Daphnia pulex: one gene and its partners. The protein of the gene in region 1 binds, or shares a complex with, the protein of each later gene. Links are inferred from orthologs where the notes say so. Each region holds a gene or a part of one and is shown in the gene's direction. Other genes may lie near its edges. The genes, in order: ribosome biogenesis regulatory protein homolog, HEAT repeat-containing protein 3-like and ribosome production factor 2 homolog.

Region 1 (6,933 bases):
TGGAACTATGATGAATGACCGAACCGGAGCGAAAGATGATTCCGGATCAGAATCCGCCAAATCAAAAAAAGAAGAAGTAGATAAAGTTCGAATCTACGACAAAACTACAAAGAGGATGAAAGAAGTTCTTACAAATGATGGAATCTCAACTTCCGTGGACGTTCATGGACAAACAGCAACCAACCTTCTGCAAACGATTCGACAGGTTCTTGGAACTGTTAGCAACGATAAGTTTGACTCATCATCTTACTTTCTCCTTCATGGTTGTCTCAACGAGTTGATTTCCTCTCACAGTGCGAAATTCGTTAGGCCTTATGAAGTTCCTATGAAAATCTACTTTCAATGCTGCAGTGAAACCATCTGTTTCGATGACAGTTTGAGGAAATATTTCCGAGAAATATTGTCTCCCATTCAATCCACCCCGTTAAAGGAAATAGGACAGCTGTGTTGTATTTACCGTTTTCGATGTATCGATTCCAAATGTAAATTTAATTACGTCGGTCAATCTATAAACTTCGAAGCTCGTTACAAGACTCATACCGGCGAGATGCTAGAAGCTTGGATGAATCACGAAGACAGGTTGGCCTTCGTGGCGGAAGGAATGCCTTTCACAAAGGACATCCACAAAACCCCCCCATCGGTCCTGTACGAACATCAGATACATGGCCACCCAAATGCAACCAGATTTAGTGATGTCTTTGAAGTGGACATTGTCCAGGGTTTGCCAGAAAATGCCAGCAATACCACAACTGACAAACGTGTTCGCCGTAGCTGGGAAATTTATTACCAGTGGCTCTACGAAGCAATGGCAAGCGAAGGTGGCGGATCGCGAAGATAGTAGAAACAAACATTCATCGCTATTTTCTACGCGTCAAAATAAATTCTTCCTCTACATATCTAACAATGTTTAATGGTTGACTTTCTTGGATCCCGTTTTCTTTACCGCAATCCAATTCTTTAATTACTGTTGCATTGAATAAATCAAAGATTACCAATTTCATAACTTTAATCAAGTTCACAAAGTTATTGAATGTTTAGCAATTTCCGATTTACACGTTTACGGAAGAGAGGCAAATGGATTTAGAATTGAGCTAACTATAGTTTTTGCTTAGTAAGAATCGCAAAGGCGCAACACAAACACAATAAGCTAAACGAAGCCGCAAGTTGGTGAGTTCCGCTGTCGTAACCGAGAAAGGTACTCTCAAGTAAAAACTGTTTAGTTGGGTAGAAAACCCACTGCCCATTTCCATAATTCCTTAGCCACCCACCTTTTGGTATGTCGTAGGTTTTCACTTCGCTTCCGTTTATACCTTCCAAACGAATCAGATCCACAAGATCGTATCCTGTTGTAACAGCACCGACGCCAGGTGAGCAACCCAATGTCAAATGCGCTTTGCTTCCATTTCCGGACGTTGGTTGGAAATTTCCTATGGCAAAAATTCTTAAACAAACCACACACATACCATATTGTATAGTAAAATCTTACCCATAACGTCAGGGTCTTGATCTGTCGAGTTTTCTTTATATGCTCGAAGGTTTTGACCATAGGTGATTGGAGTAATAAATGTTTTTGTGTTGACTTTTGCTTCTTTAGGGTTTCCTTCAGTATCGTTCTGATTCCAGACCAACAGCTGATTCTTCGTTAATTTGATACGGGCACCGAAAGTGCGAGGAGTTAGGATCCAACCAATCGAATGGAGAGTCGAGACCTGATTAAGATTTTCCTTGGAAAATAGAAAAAATTTATATTTATGCCTAAACATGCTTTGTTTCATTGTTCTCCATTACATTTTACCTTCACAACCTGTTTCTCAGAATATTCTTGAGCCCCTGGAACATAGTTGGGAGAAACTCCATTATACATTGCAGTACAATGAAGAACTTCATCAGCATTTTCTCTTGTGTAATGCAATAAGATGTCAGTTATGTATGTTTTCTGAGTAAAGTTTTGTACATCTTTCAAGAAATCTGGAATTTCTTGAAGAGTGTCGGCCAACATTTTACGGCTTCTGTTCAAGAAACTGGATGAATACTCAGTTTCAACAAACCAGCCATAGTACAATGGTAGTTCACTGTCAGCATTTTCTGCAGCTTCCACAACTTGGATTGGCATAATAATGCAACCAAGCACTGAGCTTAGCAGTAGTAATGATGAAAATGTCAACTGAAAAAATAAAAACAAATAAACAATGAGAGTAAATTAACAAACTTAGGAAAAGAAAAAAATCACCATTTTTTTGTAAAAATATTCTGAAAGTGTCTCTTTACTTTTCCCCCCTTTACAATAGATTGAATCAGTAACCTATCATTTAAATGCCAGCTTGTCACAACTTTCTTATCAAACGAAATCAGATATGACAACAAATGAAGCCCACTGGCTCCTCCACGTTAACTACTTTGACGACTTTAAAAACACAAAATTTACGCTGAGAGCTCATACACCGCCAATGATAAGTGACAAGATTAAATGCAAAGGTCCCAACCAGTAATAAAGAGATAACTGGAGTCTTTCGAGTTCTTCTTGTTTTCTTTTACACATCACACATACACGTGATTGCAATGTTGACAGCACCGTGAGTCCACCTGGCGGTAGACATTCGAATGTTTTGTATTTCGACTGCATTTCGAACTTGGAGCCACTTCATTAAAAGTTAGTCCTTTTCACAATGGCTGCTTCCATCGTTCAAAACGTGCTCTCCAAAGCGGCAGAAGACGAAGCAGAAAAACTAAAATCTATTCAAGTTGACAAAGTTGTAGAATTAGAATACGACGTGGGAAATCTTCTAGCTTATGACATTAATGACATTGACGTTAATCAGTTCAGGTAAGTCGTCTCGAAATGACATTTTTATGTATCATACACGTGTTTAACATGTTTTTGCTCTAACAACAGAGCGGACAAAGAGGCATACCTCGCAAATCTTTCAAGAGACAATGTCCAACTCTTGATCAACCAGATTTTTCAACTACCAACAATCAAAGTGGACAATGAAGTTGTGATTAAGCTGCCATCTGCTACCACAAGACTTCCACGAGCCAAGCCTGCACCCAAAGAAAAAGCACTCAGCAAGTGGGAGAAGTATGCTAAAGAGAAGGGGATCACCAAACGAAAGAAGTCAAAAGCTACCTGGGATGAAGAACTTCAGGCATGTTCACCGTACTTATAAATTTGTCACTTGTCCAAATAACAATATTATTTTTTTATTTCTGTAGAAATGGGTTCCTAGATTTGGCTTCAAAAAAGCTCTTGCTGAAAAAGAGAAAAATTGGGTTGTTGAAGTCCCAGGAAATGCCAAGGATGATGTTGATCCAATTGCATTGCGTAAAACAAAAAAACAAGAGTCTGTTGCCAAGAATGAATTGCAGCGGCTGAGAAACATTTCTGCCAGAATGCAGAAGTCGAAAACAAAAGCCAAAATCAGTTTAGAGCCAACTGAAAGGCCAACAGCAGAGCAACTTAATCGGTCAGTTTTCATAGCACACACAGCGACAGCATCAGTGGGTAAATTTCAACCTAACCTTAAAGAGCAAAAGCCTGTTTTGAAGAGTGGACAAAAAAGACATTTTGATCCATTGGTTGGTGATATCAAGAGAGAAACATCAAAGAGGTATCAATATAAATTATTGTGATTAGTAATGGTTTTCTACAGCTATTTTTTTTTCTTTGTAGTCTTGACATATTGAACAAGCTGAGTAGCAAGAAACCAAAACTGGACATCGATAAAGCCGTAAATCGGGAATTAAACACTCCGGGATCCCTCGACTATAAGGGTAAAGGCATGGAGAAGAAATCGAAAACTCAGTTGAAAAAAGATCTTGGTAAAAGAAAACACAAGGGAACTAAAGATAAAAAAATGAGTGGTAAAAAGGGGGACCGTTCTGCTGGGCGAAGCACCGTTAAGAAAGGAGGAAAACGTACTGGAAATAAAAACTAAAACGAATGAAGTATTCCATATACAATACAATTGTGAAGTTTCGAGTTTCAGCATTACTTTTTTTATTACAGGGAAAATCTTTAAGGTTAACTATTTGTTGCTTATTTTAAGAGTTTAATTGTGTACGTAAGCTTGGTTATAACGTATAATTTAATCCATTTACATTGAGAGATATTTAGCCTCCGTTACTATAAGTTAACCGTGTGCTACACAACCTACGTTATTTTGAAAATTTAAGTAATCAACTATTGGTAGACACAGACAGCATAAAACCATGAAGACAAAGAATCAAGTTGAATCACGATGCTTTATTATAGTTGCAGTCAATGCCTTTTATCAAGAACATAACATTGGAATTTATATTACTCAAAACCTGTAATTGGCAAATATGCGGCAAAATCCGGGCTTAAGTCGTTCAGCTGTAGAAACAAGAAGCCAGAAATCCGATTCGGCTATCTTCATTGTTTTTTTCAATTGATTTCGCATTTGTTTGAGACTCTCTCCATTTCTTACATATTTAAAGGTGCAATATTAGCGTACTTAACTGATGATGAATAAATTTTCGTTAATAGTTAAGCGGGAACTTACGGGAAGGGTTTTGATTGAAAAGCTTTAATAACATCATGAGCTTGCAAAGCCAATGCTTGATGGAAAGCTGCAATGATTCTAGACCAGTGCTCAGTATTATGAGTAGCAAGCTGCTCCAGACACCATCGAACATAGCGGCTAGACTCACCACATGGACGGAAAACGCTCCTATTTTGTAAGGAAAAAAACAGAATTATATCAAATTTTGTTAACAGGAAAATTTCTATTCACTTACTCAGTTGAAAAAGGAATGTTTGGTTCTCTTCGCTGGATAATATTAAACTCTTGTTCACGAGCGTGACGCTGTTTACTTCGATAGTGCTCATGAACGTTTCCCGAAAATTTGATTTTGCCCCTCTGCGAAAGGTCCAGTAATGTGAGAGGAAATTCATTCAACAAAATGTCTGCACAATTTATGTCTCTCACTCCATTTACATTCTCTAACAGTCCCTTTGAAAAATAGAAAACGAGGATTATATTTAACGCTTGTCCGCTGGGATCAGTAAAACTACACTTACTTGAATGAATAGTCCACTAGCGAATGTTTTCGCAGCATAACGCGAACAGAGAATCTGATGAGTATCTGGAAGAAAAAATGCTAATACATCTATAGCCTAAAAGTTGTAACACATTAAATCAATTTATGTTTATTTGGGTATGAAATGTGCATGCAGAATTACCCCATTGATATGTTCTTCACTTTTTCCAACAACACAGCAAGATCCCATAGTTGTGAGCATTGATGTGATAGCCACATCCCAAGCTACCAGAGATAGCTTTAACATTATCTGTTTTATTGAGATGGGACTTGTTAATTGGGGCATATTAATTCTTAGCCTGCTGCTGTCTTTCAGTATTTGATGGATTTCTCCAAGCCATTGTGAAACAATGGGCTCTTCATGGTAGTTTAAATCCTAGAGGCAAAATAAAAACTTTAAAAAATTAGTGATTGGAATGGATATGATTTAAAAAAAAGAAGAAACCTGAGATAGCCCAACTTTAAGCCTTTCCACTGTTTTGTTCAGTAGATGCACAATAAGAGGTTGAAGATTCCAGAAGACATCAAGGCACTTTTCGTAGTAGAAGACCATACTGAGTGAGACCATATGAGGTTCTTCAATACAAATATTATTGGTTTCTCCATAATTATTAGAGAAACATAGGCAGTAAAATGTAGAAGTTTGGGATGCAAACCCTAGTGCTGGAACACTCAGAGAGATTTCATTTACTCCATCATAATCAGTATGCTTTGTTTTTGCCAAATGACCAGTCAAGGTATGGACTGAAATATATTTTGCAATTTGATCTTCTTCAACTTTCATGGAAAAAGTCTTTCTCTGTGAACTTGATTCATCAGTTGAATCAATGCCTTTTTCTTCTTTGATTTCAATGCCCACTTCATCCACTTCATCATCAAAATTTGTGTTTTCATCGGAAAATACAAAACCAGATGTAGGCCATTTCTTCAACACTTTGGGACCTACAACATTATCCCAGGAGGCGAATATAAAACTGTGGAGCCAATCCCCCATTTATCACTTGCAAATAAGTCTTGCTCTTGACAAACTATTAGCTGCAAAATCACTACAACATTTCCTAGAGAATCACAGAACTTAACTTTAATAGACTAGATTTTAATACAACAGTTAAGGAAAGGGATTCAAGAACAACTGCGGAGTTGATGGGCTACGTCGTTTTAATTTAATATGAAACTGCATGGATTTGTTTACTTGGGTTGCCTAGCAACAGTTCACTAAGCAGACAATCTTTGGAAACGAACTCCACGTGATGACGTGATTCATTTAGAAAAATCGGACTTGTGAAAAACAAGTGGAAACAGTAACAGTTGCTGTGTTAATTGTGTTATATATATTTCCCATATAATTTATTAGCTTTTTCTGATGTTTGACTACATTTGACTTACACAAAATGGGTATCAGAGGTCTGTCTTCGTACATTCAGGCGAGATCTGAAAAGTGCCTAACCAATCACAAACTGCACAACTCTGACATTGTCATTGATGGTAAATTGTTCAAGCTCAGCTGTTAAAATTTTTAAACTTAAATCTGTAATTATCTTTAGGAAGCAACCTACTTCATTTTTTGTACCTCAACTGCCCAAAACAGAATGCATGCTTCGGTGGTGACTACAACATCTTTTCTGATCATGTCAGAGAAATCTTCAGATTGCTAAAGAAATGTAACATTAATGCAATTATAATCTTTGATGGTGGAATGGATGTGGACGATAGAAAACAGAAAACTAGACTTCTTCGAGCTAAGCAAAAGATAGTTGCTTCTATCAAAGTTAAACCTAGTAACCAGCACAGGTATTTACAACATTTTCATTGTAAAAACAATAGACCAGCATTTAAATTAAACTATGTTTTTATTTGTAATAGGATGTCCGT
Region 2 (7,896 bases), on another chromosome or scaffold:
TTGTGCAAGTGTGAAATTTAACGTTATTCATTTTAAGTAATAGGGTGGGGGCCTAAGTAGAGATTCGACAACCAGTAGAATGGAAAGGAAACTGCGTCTCCCACACCAAATAGTTGGATTTCATATCATTTAACTACAGGAAAACCTATTGGAAAAGTTAAGAGAAAATTCTTTTTAGCGTCCGTGCACGGCTAATTTGCTTTCTTTTATTTTTATAGATTGGAAAATTGTATCGTTCGGCCATATATAAGGGACTGCTAAACTTCATGAAACAACAGTTGAGAATCGTTCTTTGTAATTGCTTGAATAGAAAAAATGAAAAAGGTAAAGCGCAGTTATAGTTGTTGGTTGTATGGATTTACAAAAATCTGATTTTTGCATATTCCAAATAGTTTACGATTTCGATCCTGTGCTTGCTATTAGTTGGACTGGTCCTAGTTCAACATGGCACCGAGGCAACGGATGGGAAAGGTAATATTATTTCAATTTTAATTGAATTTTGAACAATTTCCTTAATAATTTGTAGACTCGGGTTACGGCGCGGAATTTGGAGCTGTAGAAGAATACAATAGCGGTGAATACGAAGGCGGAGAATACGGAGGTGAGAAAGGTTAGCCCAGCTATGCTTAAGTAACTCGAGAAATCTAGAAATCACAATAATTTACTCACAAATAAAAATCAATTGTATAGCTTTTTTTGGTGTTGGAAAGTTAATTAATTCTTCTTATAATCAATTACGAATAGGACATTTTAAAGGACGCCATAAGGGGCACCATCACAAGGGGCACCATCACAAAGGGCACCATCACAAGGGGCACCATCACAGCGGTGGAGAATACGGGGGTGGAGAATACGGTGGCGGGGAATATGGAGGTGAAAAAGGTCAGTTAAATTTTTATTTCTACGAATAAGAAGATTCCCTAAATTTGCAAATAAGTCATCGTTTTCGAATCTTTAATTTTTGTGACATCATCATAAAAGGGCACCACAAAGGTCATCATAAAGGTCATCATAAAGGGCATCATAAAGGTCATCATAAAGGGCACCACAAAGGTCATCATCAACATCATCATCAACATCACGGGTGAATTCTTACCCAATCATTCTTAATCAAATTGATGATAACTCGAGTTCTTAACAATTCACAGAGTTGGGGAATACGGCGGTGGAGGCTTTGCTTACGCATCGGCTGGTGGCTACTCATCTCATCCGGCGGCATCCTATTCTTCACAACCAGATTTTGGTTTCGGAGGCCACGAAGGATTCCAAGGATCGCCAGGATACGGTTATCCGTCAGCTCCAATTTTTCCATCATATGGTGATACCTTCGCAGGAGATTATTATTAGTAACTAATGGCACTATTCATTTCATTCTACCACTTGAAGTGGTTCAACCTTCATACCCTTTTGTGCATTCCAGTTTGATTCTGTAGAATTGATTTGATATCATTATAGATTATACACAAAGTTTCTGCGATACTAATTCCAGTTGCGATCGTATGTTTTGATTTCCACAGGTGGGAGTGATTTAATAAAGACTGAAGATAAATTTCTATTTTTGTGTTGAGCAGATTTGCTTCACACTTCTCTGAAACCTTTCGTCTAAACTTCGTGGATTTCCTAAAAATGAAAGTCCAGACTTTTTAACAAAAGAACTTTCGCTGCATGACCCGATCCTATACAGCCGTCCAGAGTCTATATGTTCAACATAATGGTTTAGTCTACAGATTGTCGTCGTGTAACTCTCACTTTTTCAAGACTTCATGCAGTGTTAGCCTTGTGTATTAAATTTGGACGCCCGAGTTATTTCACCCTAAATAATTCTTCTCTTGAAAATTTTGAAGTGTCACGATGAACATGTCGTCAAAGGAAACTGGGTGAATGAGGTTTTTTCCCGATTCCCGAGACGATTAACCAGCCGGTGAAGGGAAAAGAAATGTCCTTGAATCAGAAGATGCTTTGTGGACCATCGCTAGAGTCCCGTTCCGCTGGATTAATCGAATTGAAAGAATAGGAACAAGGGGAAAAGTTTACTTCACACGGTCACAACTGACTTTCATTTCTCTTCTGTGATGTAGGTCCCGGTCTTTGACACCAGACTCACACCTTACGCACGGTGGGCGATCTATATATAAACGACTGTTGCTGACCATTTCAAACCACAGTTGACCAACGTTCTCGGTGCAGCTTGTTGATCGATTAAACATGGCAAAGGTAATAATGTTTTATTACTTAAATGTTAGGCAAATAATATTTTGTATTTTCTTTAACGGGATTCAGGTTAACATGAACACGCTGAAATGTTTTCTGCTTTTCGGATTGGTGCTAGTCCATGGCACTGATGCTACCAAAGGAAAGGGAAGGGGTACGTATAATCTATAAATGTCTTAGATGATTATTATAATTTACTTAAAATCAAAAATAATAGGTGGCGGCGGCTACGGAATGAGCTACGGAGGAGGAGGTGGATATGGTGGCGGAGGACATGGAGGAGGAGGGGGATACGGTGGCGGAGGACATGGTAATTAAATTTAAATTTAAATTATTAATCCTTCATGATTAATTTAAGTATGTTTTCTAACTTTAATTAATTTAAATGTTACAGGTGGTGGTGGGTATGGCGCTGCACCTCCACAAATCATTTACATTCCTGCTCCTCAACCAGTATACATTCCCGCTCCTCAGCCGATCCATCACGCTCCTCCTCCGCCTAGACCGGCTCCTGTCCCTTCTTACGGTGGAGGTGGGGGGCATAGAGCTCCAGGAGGATCAGGAGGCGCACCAGTTCACGTTCATGTTCATTCTGCTCCTGTTCATCAATCGGCTCCTTCTTACGGTGGAGGCGCTGGATACGGTGGTGGAGCGTCCGGAGGCGGTCATTCCAGCGGCGGATACGGTGGGGCTTCCGGAGGCGGTCATTCCAGCGGCGGATATGGTGGGGCTTCCGGAGGCGGCCATTCCAGCGGCGGATATGGTGGGGCTTCCGGAGGCGGTCATTCCAGCGGCGGATACGGTGGGGCTTCCGGAGGCGGCCATTCCAGCGGGGGATACGGTGGGGTGTCAGAAGCTGGATATGCTTCTGCTCCATCTTTCCAGCCGCCTCCAGTTTCCTCTTATGGTCCTCCTCCTCCTCAAGGAGGTTATTAACTCCGCCGTTTTCCCTTTACAAATCCTGAATAATCTCAGAATATTTGTCATCCATTGCTTGAATAATTTCATCGGTCCTCATATATATTTCTTAAACTATTTTCACTATCGTCCTTGTCTTTACAGATTTTGAGAAGTATTCTTCACTACCGTTTTCTCAAGTGTTCCTAATAAACCAACTTTAATATTTACTATAATTCCGAATAAACATTTCTGTGTATAGTAGACTTGATAGTATTTTTTAGAGAAGTACAGAGTAACCATTAATTATCACATTCAAGGCTTTTTCAATAGGACAAATGAAAAAACGAACATCAACAATAGCTTTTTTCTGAATTCACTTGATAGTCTTTTTCGTCTTGTATTCTGCTCTCTTTTTACTTTACGATAGGACCCTTTATTAGTTTACTGAAACGGACGAATTTCGGTATTTCTTTATACAGTAAAAGAAAAAGTAAAAGTGCAAAAGTGCCATCTGGGGATAGAAGTAAACATTTCTTTTTTCGTCTGCTTATCAAACATGTGCTCTGACATGTTGAAAGGTTCTTGTGCAAGTCTTGTGCGGGAGATCGTTTCTGGTTTTTCGTTATCATAGTTACTTGTACGAAACTTGGATAACATAATTTTTCTCCATATTATTAATTTTGTCAGCTAGGTAAGTGAAAAATTTATTTCCATTTATTTGGATAAAAAATTAACCTCAACATACCGGTAGGATGGGGAAATCCAAATCGAACCGACATAATAAGCAAGTTCGTGATAATCCCACTGGACTCGCTAATAAATCTGACTCTGAAGAAATTGTGATGGATTGTGCTGTCAAGAGTCCTTATACTGGAACTGCCCTCTCGTCAGAAACCCTAAAGTCTTTTTCAAGACAGTTACAAAGTTCATCAGCAGAAGAGCGGGACTGTGTATAATACCTTTTATTCTCCCTCCCTCTTAATCATCTTCTGTAACTATGTTTTTCTTTGTTTAGGCTTGCCATGCATTAGCAGGATTGATAAGAAATAATGAGGATTCATGTGCAGCATTACAAGAAGGACTAATAAAAGGTATGCATCGTCAATTTATAAGAAAATTAGAATCAAAACGATTTACGCTTTTATTTAGTTCTTGGTCCTCTATTGCTGGATACAAGTGCCTCTGTTTGTCATTCTACTGCTTCAGCACTTCATACGATAATTTCAAAAGGAGGAGATCAAGCGATCAAGCTTGCCATTGAACACGACATTTTAACACCACTGATTGCTTTATTAAAGAGAATCCCACCACAGTGGAAACCTCATAAAGCACCTGGCAACAAAATTGATACTTCTACAGCCACCTTTCTAGAAACAGTTGCAACATTAAATCTTCTCTCCGAAAGCAGCACTCTAGCTGTTGACCGGATACATCGCGAAAACATAGTTTCCATGTTAATTTCGTATTTGGACGTAAATGCGTATGGCTTAGATGTTGTTTCGTCGGTTGTCCAGTTCCTCAGCACAGTAACTGAAGAACAGGGTGATACTGACTACACAGAAGTTTTGAAAAAAGAGATTATTTCGAAATTCCTCAATGTGAAAGAATCTAGCCCTTTATTGAAAACTCTATCACTTATGATACTTCTTAACTTGAACCATCAGCAGTTGAATTCAGGTAAATTCTGTGCTGATAAAATGTGTCTAGATTTGTATTAACAATTTTTCAAATTAAATCAGAATTGGGACAGTCAACTCAAGATATTATAAATATCCTGACTTCTTCTCTTTGCCTTGATCAAAGGAAGGCAGCGTCTTCAGTGGTCGATCATTTACCGACAACTCAAGGTTTGTTTCTATATTAATGCTAATCATATTTCGGCTTTTCAGTATCCTAATTTTGTTATAGATGAAAACGGTGGGGATGCAATGGAAGAAGATTCTTTGGCCTCTAAATTATACGATTCTGTCGAAGCTGCCGAAGAATTAATCTCTGCTCAAATAAAATCTCTGGAAATATTAACCAATATTTGTTGTTCTGGAGACGATGGCGACTCGGATGAATTCTACGAAGATGAATCCATTAGCGATGAATCACTGGGTAATGAAGGATTTCAAGAAAGCCTTATAGACTTGAATCCCGAGTTGAAGAAAGCTTTCATCGATGCGCGACTATTTCAACTGGTTATTGAAAAAGCAAAATTACCGGCAACGAATATAATTGAAGCTTTAAATCAGCACCCAACAGGTTAGTATTTAACTTGATTCAACTCTCATTCTGTAGTGGAAGGTAAATTGAAATAATCTTGTCTTGTTTTGGATTTCAGGAAAATCTCTTATTAAACGTTACGAAGCGCTCCAATGTATGGGGTTCTTGTGTTTAAGTAACATGGTGATGGTTTTCGAAGTTGACGATATTGGTGGCAGCAAGGATTTATTCGACATTTGGTGTGGCTTAGCAGTCGTGGCTTTCCAGGGTAGTAAGTCGGAACAGATGCTGGGAAGTGCAACTGCTTCTATGCGTGCCATAATTCGAAAATTGTCGTATCATAAAGACATAGTCAACCTTTTGAAGTTAGAAGACATCACTCTCCTCTGTCAGAGAGTTGTAGACTGTTCTCATCCTCAGTCAAAAGTGAATTTGCTTCAGATACTCGGCACACTTGGCTCAATGGCAGCTGGAGTTGAACCACCCATGTTGGAACCTCGATCTTCGATTGTTCGCGGAATCGGTCAAATCCTTCTCGACACTGCTTGCCTTTCTCCTGACTTGTGGATTACAGCTGAAGCTATGGATGCCTTATTTGATGTTTTCAAGGAGGATCACACAGACCCAATTGTTGGAGATGTTCAACTGGTGGAGCGTTTAAGAACATTGGCACCCACTTTCAAGCATCGTGTCCATTCACAACGTCGTAGCCTACCGGCGGATCACCTCCCAGTTGTTATGACTGCTAGAGACAATCTACTCCGCTTCATCAAGTATAAGACAAAGCAACGATCGTTAGCTAATCGATAATGTAATGTATGAATTGTTGAAGCTTTAACAAAAGTTGCTATTGGACTGTTCTTCATTTTTGGCATTTATTATATTGATTTGTTATTGGTTAGAGTTTTATAGCCTACAACAACCCCTTGAGAGCTTCTATTGAACTGAGAACATCAGCAATGAAAGGTCTTTCTTTGGGATCAACAACAAGCAAAGTGGAAATTAAGTCGTTTACCGACGAATTGACTCCTGGGGAAGTGGAATTTGGAAAATGATTCATTCCACTGGAGGCAGCCAAAGCAACGCTATCTCCTCGTTCAAATACCTCATCAAAAGGCGATTTATAGTAGCAGAGGGCATATAGCAGGCACCCCAAAGACTAAAAAAAAGTCACAATTTATGGAAAAAACTTAACTTTTAAAATAATAACAATTTAAAATACCCAGATATCAGTACGCTCATCGATGGTAGACGGACTTTGGATGTTAAAAAGTTCTGGTGCGCGATAAGTCATGGAACAACGTTCTGCTGCATCATCTTGGAGTCTCTGAGCGGCGTTGTAGCTGGTTATCTCCACGGTAGCAGGAGCAGCAGAACCTAACAAGGTAAGTCTAGAATTTATACTTCCGGAGTTAGAGTTCAAATATTACCAAGGTCCATAATGACTACGCGGTCGTTAGGGGCAAGTAAAACATTCGCGGGTTTTAGATCTCTATGTGCTACTCCAATAACGTGTATAGCAGCTAATCCTTCACAAATTTGTTGAAAATAGTTGAGAATGAGCTTGTCAGATAATGGCTCTTTCTTTAATAATCTCTTTTCTAGTAATGTTTGCAATGATCCATACTAGGTAATAAGAGTGCATGTAGATCATGAGGTAATTGATGCCTTAAAAAATCTTATTACCTTGTAAAATGGTAATAGAAGTAGGACTAAACTAGTTTGATTGCTTGAAATATCAGCACTTCCAACTGTTCTGAAAGCAAGACACTCAATAACTGAGGGATGGTTGATTTGCTTGTGGTATCGGATTTCTTGTTCTGCAGCTTGTTCATCTTCGGTGCTGTGACATCGAATTTTTTTTAAGGCGTAAAGGCGATCACTGGAAGCCTCGCTTACCAGGTCAACTGTGCTGAAACCACTACGAATTTTTAAAATTTTAGCGAGACATTTGTACATGTTGTGTAATAGCATTATTACCCTTGGCCAATAAGTTCACGCACAAAATATCGCTTCCCATCGATATCGTAATATTCTCTCGAACAAAAAACACTAAAAATACGTTGTAACATGACAGAAGTGGTTCTAAATGTCAGATCGTTGGACTAAATAACTGAATGTTGTTCGTCTGCTTCTGTCAAAAGTACAATCCCGTCATAATCGTATTTTCAAGTTAAACCTTGGGTTTGGCAACCAAAGTCTTGCTAACAAACAGATAAAAAAAATAAAAATAAATAAATTCCAGAGCAACGGAATACAACCTCGGCGATAAATTACAGTGTAAATCGTAAAACTAAAGCGACTGAGAAATTAGATTTTATTTGAATTTCCAATAATTTTGTAATACCTTTACATACTTAAACGGCTAAATCACAACAACAGAACTGTGTTAACAATTTTTAACGAAATTCTTTTGGTGGCGGAATGCGTGGAATTTTTCCAAACGAAAATTTGTCAGCTTTGAATTGTTGTATGTTAGTCTGACTTAACTGAGGGCCGTAGGACGAATTTTCAGCAACATGAGAAATTGCATGGATGTTGAAAGAATAGTTTACTGCAGATTGAATGGGAAGCTGA
Region 3 (7,130 bases), on another chromosome or scaffold:
GAGTCATCGTCGAAAGTATCCCGACTGCTATTACAACCTGGGAAACCTCGTAAGTTCTAATGTATTTCATTCAAATTTGATGTTAATTACTAAATTCAATTTTTAAAAGTATTTGGAGCTGGGACAATTCCGGGAAGCGGAAGAAGCCTTCAGGAACGCAACTTTGTTGCAGCCAACCCACGTCCTGGCCTGGACCAATCTCATCGTTATGTTGGACAATACAGGTAAACTTTTAATAATTTAACATTTTAATTCAATTTAACTAATCTTGGTTAACAAATCAGGTCAATCGCAACGATCGGAATCTACGGCGCTGGAAGCCCTGGCCATTCTACCCAACGAAGCCAATTTGCATTTCAGTCTGGCCGGAATTTTAGGCAAGCAGAGTCAATTTAAAGCGTCCGAGCTCCACTTCCTGTCGGCCATTCGACTCAATCCGCACAGTCCCATCTACCACACCAATCTAGGTGTGCTCTATCACCGATGGAAAAAATTCCAGCTGGCCGAGCAGTCGTACCAGCGAGCCCTGTCACTGGACCCCCAATGGAAAAGTGCGACGGAAAATCTCAAATTGCTGCAAAAGGCGAAACAGAATCAATTTTAAAATGATCTCTCTTGCTTTTATGTTTAACTCCTCTCAATCTCTTATTTCCCAGTGTCTTTTTGTCTTTGGAATTTTTGGGGCTTAAACGGTAGCTAGTCCTAATCTTAATTGGCGAGCTTAACTAACACGAAATGGAATACAACCGCAATCTTTTGTTTGTTTTCAGTGACTGGCTTTTTATTTTCTCTTACCAGAGGCGTAATCCCGATAGAAATCGGCTTGTTCAAGTGTGATAGAAGGCGGGACTTTGGCCAGGGCTTGTTCGAAATGTCGCTGGAGGATTTCAAAGGCAGATAAATCTTCTTCCAGGGCTCCCAGTGCGGCCTGATAATTCCGCAAAAGTTGTTTTTATTATTCAAGAACATTTAAGGTTAAAAGTTTTGTCACCTCTTTGGTCAGGGATTCTAAATCAGCTCCTGAAAAGAGTTCCGTTCTTTCCGCCAGGATTTTCAGGTCGACCTCCTTCAACGGCATCTTCCGGCAGAGTGACTGAAGGACGGCCAATCGTGCAGTTTCGTCTGGATGTGGGATGTGAACCAGCGAGTCGAAACGACCTGGACGAAGTAGAGCCCCGTCGATTTTGTCGGGTCGATTGGTGGCGCCAACTACCACGACTCCTTGGCTGGATGAAATGCCGTCCATTTCTTGAAGCAGGGCCGCCACCACACCCAGTTGGGCTGTCCGGCCGTGATTGGCGTTGGTACGTCCACCAACCATTGCGTCTACAAAATCACCAAATTAAAATATTTTCAATAATATTCCGAGGGATTGATTAAGTTACCTAATTCGTCTAGGAATAGGATAGCCGGAACTGCCTGGCGGGCTCGCCGGAAGAGATCCGAGACCATTTTCTCCGAGTCTCCGACGAACGGAGAAAAGAGTTCGGCGGCTGAAATAGACAGAAAGGAAGCCGTGCACGAAGTGGCTGCCGCTCTGACCAGGAGCGATTTTCCACAGCCTGGAGGGCCGTAAATTAAAACGCCTTTCGGCCGGGGCACATTGAGCCTCTCAAAAGCTTCAGGGTGTTTCAGCGGCCATTCAACACTGCGGCGGATGTACATACGGGCCTCTTCCAATCCTCCGACTTCATCCCAGCTGACTCGACGGAACTGTGCAAAATCAAAAAATTAATTTTCAAATAATTTTTTACGGAGATAAACGTCAAAGTTATTACCTCGCCACTTCCGGTACTTTCTCTCATAGCGGATGGCCTAACACGACCAATAGCTGCCTTCCACTCTTTGAGTGTCAATAGGCATCGATCCTGTCCCGAAAATTAGTTGGTCATCAGCTTCGTCTGGAGTAAATTATTATTACAAAATTACCAGTGAAAGATAGAGGGCTTCACGACACAAAAGATTTAAATCTGCGCCAACGTAGCCGGGGGTCATTTCAGCCACTTGTTTCACATCTTCCAAGTCTGTGTACAATTCAATTTCTTCGCAGATGGCTTTAATGATCTCTTCCCGTTGATGGCAATTGGGGGCATACAAATGGACCTTTTAAATCAAATCAAAATTAGACGAAAGCAAATTAGGAATCACAATTAAATTTACTTCTCTGTCGAGTCTGCCTGGCCGACGAAGAGAAGGATCGACATCTTCCAACCTGTTGGTGGCCGCCATGATGGTCAAGTTGCGGTTAGTATGAACGTCGTCAATCAAGCCCGTTAGGCAAGTAATCAGACGATTTGTGTGGGTTTGACCACCTCGTTTAGGGCAAATGGAATCCACGCCGTCCAGAAATAGAACTGTGGGACTCGACACGCTTAAAGTTTCCTTGAAAATGTTTCTCAATTTGTCTTCGCTGCCTCCTGGATCGGATGACGAGAGATCCGAGCAAGTGACTGGGATGAGAAACAGGCCGTTTTCAGCGCAGAGTTGCTGGACGATTGAACTTTTCCCGCAGCCCGGTGGACCGTGTAAAAGAATTCCTCTAGGCGCGCAAAGTTGAGCAAACACTTGGGGATGCTGTAGAGGATACACCACTAGTTCTTTCAATTTGTTGTAGGCTTCATCTACTCCTCCCATTCTTGTCGTTTGGACTCGTTCTTGAATTTTCATCCATTTCTCTGTGATGATGTTTTCAATCTTGACTTGGGTTTTGGCAGACACTGTCAGAGCTCCACCGTCAGGTTTCGTTTCCAGGACCAAAATTTTCTCTACATTCCCTGCGGAAAAGTATTTGCCAACAGTGATTGACGAAAGCGGGGTGATGATCTTGTTTGAAAGAAGACTCTTGATCAACAGGGGCAACTTGCATTGTTTCAAATGGTTGACACTTTGAAAACTATCAGTTACGATAGTTACAGTTATACTTGTTGCCGGTTTCAGTGACAATTTTGAAACACTGAAATCCCTCGTCACTACTGGATGAGTGATGAGAAACTTTCTACGTTCACTGTAAATTTGAACGGTATTTTCAACAACTGCATCATTTTTCAAATCAGTCCTAGGGAAGAGCTTGCAAATGAAGGTTCCCTTGTTTGTCGTCACTTTCACTGGGCATCCAACTTGACAATTTAAAGTTACAAATTCCGCAACAGGAAGACAGCACTTTTGACTGCCAATCTCTGAACCAATAACGACAGTATTCATTTTTACTCTTGATTTTTGCAGATATTTTCGTTTCGGGGCATGCTGTCACTGTTATTTTGATTTGAGATACGGCGTTGCCAAAGACGCTAAACAAGATGAAAAATTAAAGAAAAATTTTACAAATGTCATTAGTTATTTGATTCAAGTTCAATTTTATTTTATCCCTTTTTTTCTGTACCATTTCAGAGAAATTGTAGCATTTTTTACAAAATTTAATTTCGCCATGTTGCAATTTGAGACTCAAGTTCTAGCAGACGAATTGTTACACTCAAACTCAAACCGCGTGTTGGTTGGGAGACGTGTCTGTCTAAAATCCTAACAAGTTATCCAAACTTGTTAAATATTACTTTGTGTGACATTTCGTACCTTAATATACTGTTAACAGAATGAGCGTCAGAATTACGTAAGTGAAGAAATTACAAGTATTTTTTCGTAAAATTGATTATCATCTGTTAATTGCAGGAAACCCAAGACCCACCGCGGTAAGCGGATGCTGGCAAAACGAGAGCCAAAAATCGTTGAATTGGCTAAACAAGCTTTGATGCTTCGTGGTTCTACTGCCAGCGTCACATCCCTTCAATTTGTCAAAGATTTGGTACTATTGCTACAAGCTTATAAGCTTTTGGGTTGTATGTTTTCTAACATTTCGTTCTACTTCAGTATGCCATCAAACGGATGCAATCAACATACTTTGGTCAGAAACACCCTTACAATCCATTTGAAGATGTTAAACCGATAGAAGAACTGACTCAGAAATATGACCATTCTTTATTTGCATTCTGCTCAGACAACAAAAAGAGGCCCAACAATGTTATTCTGGGTACAATTTGATCTCTAAATTTTGTTTGAATTTATGGCCTAAACTAAAAGTCATCTAAATTTTCAGGAAGAATGTTTGACCACCAGTTGCTCGACATGATTGAATTTGGTGTGGAACAGTTCAAATCCTTGACTGCAATTCGCAACGCCAAAGTGATGGATGGTAACAAGCCTTGCCTGATCTTCTCTGGTGATGTCTGGCACCAAAACGAAGAGTATTCCAAATGCAAATCTTTGCTCATCGACTTTTTCCGTGGAGAAGTAGTGGAACAAGTTCGTCTTGCTGGTTTCGAACATGCTCTTTCTTTCACGGCTGTTGACGGCAAGATTTTCCTCCGCAGTTACAAGTATTTTTCTATATTTTTCATTTCATTTTTGAGATTGTAATAATCAAGTTTTTATAAAAGGATTTTGATGACCAAAAGTGGAACTAAAACTCCTCATATTGAATTGGAAGAAATCGGACCTTCGGCCGACTTGGTCATCAGAAGAACCAAATTGGCCTCAGCTGATCTATTCAAACGGGCGTGTCGCACACCAAGCGCTGCCAAGGTAATTTTTCTATTGGCTACTTCCATTTCAAATTTACTGAATAGTATTATTTGCTTTTAAACAGCCCAAGAAAGTCAAGAACATGTCCAAGGACGTTTTCGGTTCGAAACTCGGCCGCATTCACATGCCACGTCAAGATTACAGAAAGTTGCAAGTTAAACGCGGAAGAGCTCTGCGGACTGAAAAGTCACCCAAAAAAGCATCAAAACTTTCCAAGAAGTGAACGGTTGAAATTAATAAAGACTTTGACAAACACGACTCGTATGTACTGTGCACGATTTAAATTATCAGGCTTATTAGGTACCTCCATTTAGTGTTTTTCTCTCCTGTGGACCTGTGGTTACTCTATTGGTAATATTATTTTAAGCATTTTTGAATTAACTTTAATTTTTCCAGTATCGATGGATTTGCTGGATCGGTTAGAATTTGAGAAAGAAAAGGAACTAAACAAATTTAACTGGGAATTGGTCGACTCCGCTTCTAGCACTTAAAGGCTTATGGTTTAGTGTTAAATGAATAATCACATCTTAGCTTTGCCAGAGGTATCACCACTATTTTGAATTAAAACTACAAGAATTTATCTCCCCACAAAAACTAGGTAAAATGGAAATGCCGAATTGTGTATTTTTAATTACTCGTCATTTCAATTTATTGACATATGCCTGTAATGTAATTATTTTGATCGGTAGTGGGAAAAGCAGCTACTTGCAATGTGGGAGTAATGGATTTCAAGCAGAAGCTTCGATGACGGTGTTGATGCCTTGCATGGTGGATGTCCAGGCTTGTTTGGCTTCCGGAGTGAAGGCGGAGCCGAGAGTGGCAGCCAAAAATACCAGCAACACGGTGGCCATGTTCTACAATTCATTGGATAAGTAATCTAAATTTTCTCAACTACTTTGTATAAGATACTCACGTCGAAATGGGCTCGAGTTGTTCCGCGCTGTTTATGCTGGTTGGCCAGATCAACCAATTTGCCATTGAGAGCATCCGGATTGCCCAAAGAGTCGATGATTTCCGACAATTTGGTGACGACATTGACTGACAAGGTCTGAATTGGCCGAAATCACATTTAGATTTTGTTTAATTTACAGGTTGCAAAGTGTTTTGGACTTACTATGAGAGCAGCGTTGCTCAACAGTTGGCCGGATGGAACATTGGCGATGGTGGGGAACATGGCTTGGTATTCCGGATGAGCAGTCAACAGTCTTCCAAGTGGATTAGTCACACATGGTTAGTATCTTTCAATTATTTATAGTAAAAATTTAAGATACTTACGCCACGTAGAATTGGGGAGCAAAAGTGCTGATGTCCGATTTAATGACGGCCCAGGTGCTTTGAACGGCAGCAACGTTGACTGAGTTGAGGACGTCCATTGTACTGGTGATGCGACTTTTAGGAAACAATTACAGTTGAATTCAACTTGAAAGAATTGTCGGTTATCTTGCTCACCGGTTAGTTTGCTGCTGTTGGAGATTTGACAGTTGACTGATTGTCTAAGCGATGGGGAAGCCCGTCTTTTATAGGCCCACAATAGATGGGTTGGGGGGGATTCCCTCCTCTGTTCCTTTTGTAAAAAGGGACGACGTGTGAAAGAAACGCGCATCCAGTCACGTAGACATATGGAAAATAATACGCCAAAGAGAAGCCACTTGAGTGATTGACTGTCCTACCACTCAGCAGCCATGTGACAGATGCCACGTTCAAACTGGGAATTGAGTGGCGTCCGTTTTCCTTCAAATGTCAACTTAGTTTTGTTTGTGGATTTCGACATGATGCGTCCATCAGGGTTAGCGGTGAGTGGATGGGTTTTTACCAAGCACACAGCACCTTTTGCTGCCTAAAACTCCGTCTCGAGATGATCAAGTTCAATGTGAGCAACAACCGGCGGATTTTGTCGATATGAAATTCCAACTGAATTCAACGCGGAGGTACTGGAAAGTAGATTTTCCTAAACTATTAGAATAAGTTTATATGTTGGAAAAAGGAAGAATGGAAAAAAGTAAGATCTTTTTTAACGAATAATTACTTACGATTTGCTATTAAACATAAGGTCGAATACCGCAGTGGTTAGCAATCTGATTTGCTACAACATGCGTCGATGGTTCAAACCTCGGCAAAGTCTAAAAACTTTCTACGCGTAAAAAAAGCATGTTAATTAAAAACTTAAATTTCCACCACTGTGTAGGCCATTAATAAAATCCATTCCTCCGTGCTGGAGAGGGAAAACTGGCGAGTGGCTAAGGGACTTTTCGTCGATATTGGGATCGGTCCAATATTCCTTAGTCGTAAAAAGGCGAATTAAATGTGTACTGAGGTATAGGCAAGTAGTTCTGAGTATGCTACCGTTACCATTGGTTTGCGCATTTGATTCAGTTGAGCCTTCTTGATTACATAGTTAAGTTCCGTCGTGTTGTATGGGTGCTGTGGCGAAGCCGAGGAGCTGCACTTCGCGGACTACAAACGAATATCATCAATGATCTTATCACGTTAGATGAGCCCGGATCGCTAATGTCGTCTGCATGGGTCCCCCCCCCCCCCCCCCCGTGTAGATGACCTCT

The links.
Region 2: ribosome biogenesis regulatory protein homolog (region 1) and HEAT repeat-containing protein 3-like share a complex: the UniProt entries of both Homo sapiens proteins name them as parts of the hexameric 5S RNP precursor complex. The link is inferred for Daphnia pulex from reciprocal best matches to the Homo sapiens genes RRS1 and HEATR3.
Region 3: ribosome biogenesis regulatory protein homolog (region 1) and ribosome production factor 2 homolog share a complex: the UniProt entries of both Homo sapiens proteins name them as parts of the hexameric 5S RNP precursor complex. The link is inferred for Daphnia pulex from reciprocal best matches to the Homo sapiens genes RRS1 and RPF2.

Annotation. Positions count from the first base shown.
Region 1 is NC_060028.1:7,483,617-7,490,549, reverse strand, and holds ribosome biogenesis regulatory protein homolog, read left to right. Parts: upstream 1-2,613; 5' UTR 2,614-2,666; coding exon 2,667-2,824; intron 2,825-2,893; coding exon 2,894-3,146; intron 3,147-3,213; coding exon 3,214-3,608; intron 3,609-3,670; coding exon 3,671-3,935; 3' UTR 3,936-3,979; downstream 3,980-6,933. Other genes in the region: 2',3'-cyclic-nucleotide 3'-phosphodiesterase-like, read right to left, coding at 1,096-1,427, 1,487-1,724, 1,796-2,164, 2,231-2,233; uncharacterized protein LOC124209703, read right to left, coding at 4,302-4,443, 4,524-4,691, 4,759-4,973, 5,042-5,137, 5,204-5,437, 5,507-6,055; protein asteroid homolog 1-like, read left to right, coding at 6,453-6,546, 6,606-6,852, 6,925-6,933. UniProt on the Homo sapiens protein: Involved in ribosomal large subunit assembly. May regulate the localization of the 5S RNP/5S ribonucleoprotein particle to the nucleolus.
Region 2 is NC_060021.1:11,398,914-11,406,809, forward strand, and holds HEAT repeat-containing protein 3-like, read left to right. Parts: upstream 1-3,641; 5' UTR 3,642-3,802; intron 3,803-3,862; 5' UTR 3,863-3,863; coding exon 3,864-4,061; intron 4,062-4,126; coding exon 4,127-4,202; intron 4,203-4,260; coding exon 4,261-4,788; intron 4,789-4,850; coding exon 4,851-4,958; intron 4,959-5,019; coding exon 5,020-5,358; intron 5,359-5,437; coding exon 5,438-6,129; 3' UTR 6,130-6,179; downstream 6,180-7,896. Other genes in the region: pupal cuticle protein Edg-91-like, read left to right, coding at 316-324, 393-471, 527-610, 745-882, 982-1,084, 1,149-1,347; glycine-rich protein 5-like, read left to right, coding at 2,206-2,214, 2,281-2,365, 2,429-2,521, 2,606-3,147; serine/threonine-protein kinase 16-like, read right to left, coding at 6,233-6,478, 6,542-6,696, 6,750-6,945, 7,006-7,240, 7,300-7,391; nucleoporin NUP42-like, read right to left, coding at 7,719-7,896. UniProt on the Homo sapiens protein: Plays a role in ribosome biogenesis and in nuclear import of the 60S ribosomal protein L5/large ribosomal subunit protein uL18 (RPL5). Required for proper erythrocyte maturation.
Region 3 is NC_060026.1:16,286,779-16,293,908, forward strand, and holds ribosome production factor 2 homolog, read left to right. Parts: upstream 1-3,444; 5' UTR 3,445-3,587; coding exon 3,588-3,604; intron 3,605-3,663; coding exon 3,664-3,796; intron 3,797-3,861; coding exon 3,862-4,021; intron 4,022-4,087; coding exon 4,088-4,367; intron 4,368-4,427; coding exon 4,428-4,572; intron 4,573-4,636; coding exon 4,637-4,795; 3' UTR 4,796-4,830; downstream 4,831-7,130. Other genes in the region: protein O-mannosyl-transferase TMTC4-like, read left to right, coding at 1-49, 110-224, 285-604; spermatogenesis-associated protein 5-like protein 1, read right to left, coding at 782-928, 992-1,326, 1,386-1,713, 1,779-1,868, 1,930-2,103, 2,161-3,201. UniProt on the Homo sapiens protein: Involved in ribosomal large subunit assembly. May regulate the localization of the 5S RNP/5S ribonucleoprotein particle to the nucleolus.